2 linked regions of the Saccharomyces cerevisiae S288C genome follow. The protein of the gene in region 1 binds, or shares a complex with, the protein of each later gene. Each region holds a gene or a part of one and is shown on either strand. Other genes may lie near its edges. The genes, in order: RPN6 and RPN8. A codon is read from its position in the direction of its gene.

Region 1 (3,731 bases):
TTCTGGTAACAATGGGTTACTGTTGTTCTCAACGTACCACAATGTTAAATCATGTCTACCGGAGGAGGCACAGGTAACTTCTTGTTGTTCGAACCCCCAAGCTGGCAACTTGACTTCGTGGGAAAACAAATAACAGCCTGTCATAGCATGTCTCAATCTAAACTTTGTGTCCAAAGCTATGACCCGTTCTTGGGCAACTCCAGGAGCAGAATTCTTTTTATCAATCTCAACAACCCAGTCATCATTAGCATCACCGTCGAATCCGCTGTAACCATAACAAGAAACCTCCTTCTGCCAGTCGCTGCTTTCTGAAACGGGTGGCTTATGGTCATGAGAGTGTAATCTACATCTTGTAACAGTGTGGAATAGTCTGACCTTGGTACCATCGGTTAGGTTTTGGAATGTTGTTAAAGATTCGCCGGGTGCGTTGTAAAGTTCCAACAACCAATCGTTATTGGCATCCATGTGAGGATATAAAGTGCTTTGTTGTTGTTCCGAACCAGCTGGATAATTGTGTGAATGAGAATGCAAATAACCGCCCATGGTAGAGAGATGACGCAAGCTGATAATGGAGCCAATGCCGACATCAGCAACGACATTTTGGGGGATCTTATTGTTCTTTAGTGTAGATCTAAATTCAGGCGAAAAGAAGCTTGCGCCATCCCCGTCCAAAGTTAATGATTGGAAGTGGATATAAAAGAAGACCAGATAAAGGGCAAAAGGCACACCCAACAAGAAGGCCAATTTGGCAAATGCTACTTTGAAGATGGACTTGGAAGACTTAGTCAAATCCCCAATCATGAACCATAGTCTCCAGATACATAAAAGACCCACCCATGTAACCGTGAAAAGACCAACCCATTTGGATGAAGATGCCATACCAAGAGCAATACCAGTAGCAAGCAAGGACTTGTAAGCATTGAGCGAGTTGGCAGGGTACATTTCGTATTTCTTGAAAGAGTAGACTGCAGCTGCAATGAAAAACATCAATGGGGCGTCCAACAGAATGTAACGAGAAATAGTGACGTACGAGTTTTCAACGGCAAAGCAGATAGCGCTCATCAAAGCAACCCACATACGAACACCAGAATAACGTAAAGTCATGTACATCAAAATAACAGTAAGAGCCCCCAAAGAAGCAGAGAAAAATCTCATCAACACGTATGGCGTCGTAGATGGAAAGCTGTCACCAATATTTTCGAAGTCAAAATCACCCTGGAACCCACCAAGCGATGCCACACCAGCATACAACATCTTTGCAAGAGGAGGATGCACATCCATGAAGTAAGTCCCCCTAATGTATTGCGAGGCAAACCCACCGAAATGTACTTCATCAAACACCACGCTGTCAGGCCATGCCAAGCCATGCAATCTAATGACCGCTGTAAAGACAGCAAGACAGGCCACTAACAGCTTCTCTTTAAGAGTGACCATGGTTCGTAACGAGGCCAATTCGGCACTCGGATCGGTAACAATAAAGGGTCTTACGGGGCCCTGCTTGATATCCAGTTCGGGCACGGGATCATCCTGCTCTACACGTTTGTACGTTTTCTCTTCCGACATGACCGTGCTTGTAGCTGTTAGCTGTTTCTTGATAGGCTCTTCTGATACTACCTCGCTTTAACAATGCACCTGTTTGTCTTGTTTTGCTGCTCGAAAATAATCAAGATCTGCTTAGAAACGCCAAACTCTTCTTCGACACGTGTCGAGAAAAAAAACGCAGCGAAAAAAAAAAAAAAGGTATATCATCACAATATACGATATAAATGGGCAGGGCAACCCCGAATGATGTATATTCTCTTCTGGTTCCAAGGGTGGCAAATGTTGGTAGAAAGCGTAATTGAAGCAAAGATCCGTTAAATAAGGCCAACTAACAGAAGCGCTGAAAGAGGACAATTGGTGATTAATCTATAAACGAGGAACTTCATGTCTCTGCCAGGTTCGAAATTAGAAGAGGCCAGGAGACTGGTTAATGAAAAACAGTATAATGAGGCAGAACAAGTCTATTTGAGCCTGCTGGATAAAGACAGCTCACAGAGCAGCGCCGCTGCCGGTGCCAGTGTGGATGACAAGCGTAGAAATGAACAGGAGACAAGCATATTGGAATTAGGACAGTTATACGTGACTATGGGTGCAAAGGACAAATTGCGCGAGTTTATTCCTCATTCTACGGAGTATATGATGCAATTTGCCAAATCCAAAACGGTAAAGGTATTGAAAACGTTGATTGAAAAATTCGAGCAAGTGCCGGACTCCTTGGACGATCAGATCTTTGTGTGCGAGAAAAGCATCGAATTTGCCAAGAGAGAAAAAAGGGTGTTTTTGAAGCATTCACTCTCGATCAAATTGGCCACCTTACATTATCAAAAGAAACAGTACAAGGACTCATTAGCATTGATTAACGATCTTTTGAGGGAGTTCAAAAAGCTGGACGACAAGCCCTCTTTGGTTGATGTACATCTATTGGAAAGTAAAGTTTACCATAAACTGAGGAATCTAGCCAAGTCCAAGGCCTCGTTGACTGCAGCAAGGACGGCCGCTAACTCCATATACTGTCCTACACAAACAGTTGCGGAGCTGGACTTGATGAGTGGTATCCTGCACTGTGAAGATAAAGACTACAAAACTGCATTTTCGTATTTCTTCGAAAGTTTTGAAAGCTACCACAATTTGACTACGCATAATTCCTACGAAAAGGCATGTCAAGTGTTGAAATACATGCTATTGTCTAAGATCATGCTGAACCTTATTGATGACGTAAAAAACATCCTAAACGCAAAATACACAAAGGAAACGTACCAGTCCCGAGGCATTGATGCCATGAAAGCTGTCGCTGAGGCTTATAACAACAGATCGCTTTTAGACTTCAACACGGCGCTAAAGCAATACGAGAAGGAACTAATGGGCGATGAACTAACAAGATCCCATTTCAATGCATTATACGACACGTTATTAGAGTCCAATTTGTGTAAGATTATTGAGCCATTTGAATGTGTGGAAATATCCCACATTTCCAAAATAATCGGTCTGGATACTCAACAAGTTGAAGGAAAGCTCTCCCAAATGATACTAGATAAGATATTCTACGGTGTTCTGGATCAAGGTAATGGTTGGCTTTACGTTTACGAAACTCCGAATCAGGATGCCACGTACGACTCTGCATTGGAATTAGTCGGGCAACTAAATAAAGTCGTCGATCAACTATTTGAAAAGGCAAGTGTCTTGTATTAGGTTTACATGTATATATATGTATGTATACTCACAAGTACCAGAGTAAGAATTCCTAAATAAACTTATAAAATGCAGAAAATACATAAGTATGATTTTTCTTTTTTTTCTCCTAAGAAAGGAAGAAGTTTAATCGAATGCGCCGCTAAATAGAAAACAGTTGATGCGAAAGTTCATCAAAACCAGAAGTTCCTACAAGCCTTAGCTGACAAAAATTCGAGAAAGCTAATGTCGAATTTTGGCAGAAGAACTTGGGATAGAGAGGAGTATGCTGAGCAGGCTAGAAGCGGCTATGACGATCGATCCTTAAAGGCTACGCTAACACCGATTGAATTACAAGCTTTAAAATCCAAATATACAAATTACGATCATTTAATCAAGGGCTCGCTAAAAGACCTAAATAAAAGGAAACTAACAGCAAATACAGAGAGCTTATCGTCTTTCAAGAGGGGAAAGAAGTTCGGATTTTACTGCGATATTTGTAACCTAACCTTCAAAGACAC
Region 2 (3,696 bases), on another chromosome or scaffold:
AAAACTTCATCAATATAGAGTAGCAAACCATTTTTACAACATTTTATATCACGATCTGCGCAAAAACCTTAGAATCCCCGCACAGCTGCCCAATGACAGATATAGGCAACGTTGTTGGTGCTAATCATTTTTAACTTGTTCTTTTTCCTCCTAGAAACCCATTGACAGTTTGCTGGTTATTTTTTTCTTCTTCCGCTTTTGCTGTCGCCGCGAATGAGTGAAGGCTGGTCAACCTGGTTAATTAGTAGCGCTGGCTTTCAGGGTACGAAAGCAATCATGTTCAGACATAGGGTTCTGTCCTTTGCAGCTGATTTGCAACTCGGCCAGCAATTCAAGAACATTTCGTAGTAAGCTGCTTTCAATTATATGCATATATACTCTGTATACAATTTTCAATTTTGAATTAAGTTCCACGGCTGAACGAGAAAAAGATACCTGAACACGCTACCTAACAAAATCCATTCCTTGTTTCTCTTCCCACTCCTTCAGCGCATTTTCCCACTCATCTTCTTCATTCACATCAACAGCTTTATTTTGCAATTCTTGTTCTTTTAACAACGCCGTACGTTTTTCTTCTTCTTCTTTATCATACTTCTCTTTATTGTCTATCCACCTGTCTTGAATGTCGTAATTCGCTATTAATGCACCTTCTCGCGAAGCCTCAGCCCACACGGTATCACCACCAACTTCGGATGCGCCGAATATGTAGCCATTTGCTTTATCTATAACACCTTGAAGATTTATCATACTTTCTTTGTCATCCACGGACAAAACCTCAAATGATACTAAGTTGAAATCTGAGACTAGCTCTTTGATTGTTTCAGTTAACTTGCTATATTTCTTTCCCAGTACACTAGAGCCTTCCTTTTCAATATATGGCTCCAAATAATCCAGATCCTGGACCTCTGTATAATAGTCTAATCTAAAGGGTAATTCTCCGTATGATTTCAGCATATCTATTTTAGAAAAAACGTTGATGTGAGGGAGATCCATCATTAACATAGACCTCAATGCAAGTAACAAAATCGAGATATATTGTGAAGGGGATGTCATGTAAAAACAGTCAATCAAATTTACAACACAAAACCTAATGTCCAATTCCTTTTCCATTTTTTTAAAGATGTTGAACAAAGATGAGTGATGAGTAAATAGCTCCACTTGGCCCGGACAGTCGAATACAAGATATGCTTTTTCTTCTTCTACAAGTGACTTGATCTGTAAAATGAACAAATCAATAGAATTATCCAATGATTCAACAGCATACATCAAACCTCCATTAGGGCCTAACTGTTGCTCTTGCATGATCTCCTCTAATGTTATAAAATCACGAATATCCACAGCGCATGGGTAAGGTAAGGCATCATTAGCAGGATCCATATTCACTACCTGGGAATGTCTTCCGATGGCATTGAAGAACTGTGAGCAGCCGTTGCAATAGGTTGACTTCCCTGAACCTGGTGGACCAATAACAATCTGAGCGAAGGGCATTATTGTACTCTCTAGTAGAAAATCAAAACTATTGACACAACAACAATCAAATGAAAACAAACCATTCTATTACGGTAAGTAGTGAAGACTCACAATGCAATCTTTCAATGAGCATCACTTACTTTAAGTAGCAATATTCCTAATCACTTATTACGAAATTTGATTTTACTAAAGTTCGGGGATACCTCAGTGGCAAATCGTTACTCAAGTTGCACGTAACGTAGAATCTACAATGAAATAATTGTGAAGCCAACAGCTAAGCAATCTATAGTGTAACGTTGGCTTTCTGTACAACTGCTACTGATTGAGGGCATTTTTCGAATTTAAAAAAAGAAAGAAAGAAAGGAAAATCAAATTACAATGTCTCTACAACACGAGAAAGTTACCATTGCACCACTAGTTTTGCTATCTGCTTTGGATCATTATGAGCGTACGCAGACAAAAGAAAACAAAAGATGCGTTGGTGTCATCTTAGGTGATGCTAACAGTTCCACTATCAGAGTCACTAATTCCTTTGCCTTACCGTTTGAAGAAGATGAGAAAAACTCTGACGTGTGGTTTTTAGACCATAATTATATTGAAAACATGAATGAAATGTGTAAAAAGATTAATGCCAAGGAAAAACTCATTGGATGGTATCATAGTGGTCCTAAATTAAGGGCTTCTGACCTCAAGATTAATGAGCTGTTTAAAAAATATACTCAGAATAATCCGCTATTATTAATTGTTGATGTCAAACAACAAGGTGTTGGTTTACCAACAGATGCATATGTCGCGATTGAGCAAGTTAAGGATGATGGTACGTCTACAGAAAAGACGTTTCTTCATTTGCCTTGTACTATTGAGGCCGAAGAAGCTGAAGAAATTGGTGTAGAACACTTATTGAGAGACGTACGTGATCAAGCAGCAGGTGGCTTATCTATCCGGTTGACCAACCAATTAAAATCTTTGAAAGGATTACAAAGCAAACTAAAAGACGTTGTCGAGTACTTAGACAAAGTCATTAATAAGGAATTACCGATAAACCACACTATATTGGGCAAGCTACAAGATGTTTTCAACCTTTTACCAAATCTGGGAACACCTGATGATGACGAAATAGATGTGGAGAATCATGACAGAATTAATATTTCAAATAACTTACAAAAGGCTTTAACTGTGAAAACTAATGATGAATTAATGGTTATATATATAAGCAATTTGGTTAGGTCAATTATCGCGTTTGATGATTTGATTGAAAACAAAATTCAAAATAAAAAAATTCAAGAACAAAGAGTAAAGGACAAACAATCAAAAGTCTCTGATGACAGTGAGAGTGAGAGTGGTGACAAAGAAGCAACTGCGCCATTGATCCAACGAAAGAACAAGAAAAATTAATTCAAAAATTAACATAACATAATATATGAAATAGATGTGTAAAACGCTATGTATTAATACAACATGTTAATTTGCTTAAGCATAATTATGTTCTGTTGAATTTCAAATATAAATGCATAATATCGCCTCTATTCTCGTCCACTTACTTACTTGGTCTCTATTAAAGAGACTGAAGGAATATACATAAGTTTATATTAACGCTCAAATAATCCGTCATCTTCGTACTCGTACTCGTCGGTATATTCACTATCATCAGAATCTTCATCGCTTCTATCATCACTGTCAGTTTCTTCGGCGATTTCACTTTCTCCAGCAATAACACTATCATCATATATTAACTCGTCCTCCTCATCTTCATCCAAATAAACGTTGGCCAGTGTTTCACCTTTAAAGTTATTTTTAGGCTCCACAACATAATGGCCTTCGATATAACAATTGCTGAGTTTACACTTTGAACCGATTTTTGCCATAGGTCCAATAATACAATTTTCCAGGATTACTTCGTCACCAAGATGGACTCCAGGAAATAAGAGAGACCCTGCAACACGACATCTGGAACCAATATTGGCCTGAGTACCGAGAACAGACATCTTGACATTACTATGAGCAGAGATTTGGCATTTGGGATCTACTATGGCATCAGCACCGATAGCGGCAGATTGAATCTGTATATTTTTCGTGAACATCGTTTGTGATTTTATCTTTAGTACAAATCTATTAGCGTCCATGTAAGCATTCAAGTTATTGGCTCTGATGAACAAGGTTTCGTTTGGTAAAATAAAAATACCTATTGGTTCCCTCGGTTTCGAATGTTGCCACGAACGACGAGAT

What was found.
Region 2: the proteins of RPN6 (region 1) and RPN8 are in contact, whole or in part, in a cryo-EM structure (PDB 3J47), measured with the Saccharomyces cerevisiae proteins. Residues at the interface, in NP_010186.1 of Saccharomyces cerevisiae: Thr408 (codon at 3,148), Ala412 (codon at 3,160), Leu415 (codon at 3,169), Val416 (codon at 3,172), Leu419 (codon at 3,181), Asn420 (codon at 3,184), Val422 (codon at 3,190), Val423 (codon at 3,193), Leu426 (codon at 3,202), Phe427 (codon at 3,205), Lys429 (codon at 3,211), Ala430 (codon at 3,214); in NP_014904.3 of Saccharomyces cerevisiae: Val275 (codon at 2,671), Ile278 (codon at 2,680), Val282 (codon at 2,692), Arg283 (codon at 2,695), Ile285 (codon at 2,701), Ile286 (codon at 2,704), Asp289 (codon at 2,713), Ile292 (codon at 2,722), Glu293 (codon at 2,725), Ile296 (codon at 2,734), Gln297 (codon at 2,737), Lys299 (codon at 2,743), Lys300 (codon at 2,746).

Annotation. Positions count from the first base shown.
Region 1 is NC_001136.10:284,891-288,621, reverse strand, and holds RPN6 (proteasome regulatory particle lid subunit RPN6), read left to right. Parts: upstream 1-1,926; coding exon 1,927-3,231; downstream 3,232-3,731. Other genes in the region: dolichyl-phosphate-mannose-protein mannosyltransferase PMT1, read right to left, coding at 1-1,563; U4/U6-U5 snRNP complex subunit SNU23, read left to right, coding at 3,457-3,731. UniProt on the Saccharomyces cerevisiae protein: Component of the lid subcomplex of the 26S proteasome, a multiprotein complex involved in the ATP-dependent degradation of ubiquitinated proteins. In the complex, RPN6 is required for proteasome assembly.
Region 2 is NC_001147.6:815,084-818,779, reverse strand, and holds RPN8 (proteasome regulatory particle lid subunit RPN8), read left to right. Parts: upstream 1-1,848; coding exon 1,849-2,865; downstream 2,866-3,696. Other genes in the region: GTPase GPN2, read right to left, coding at 445-1,488; GCD1 (translation initiation factor eIF2B subunit gamma), read right to left, coding at 3,060-3,696. UniProt on the Saccharomyces cerevisiae protein: Acts as a regulatory subunit of the 26S proteasome which is involved in the ATP-dependent degradation of ubiquitinated proteins.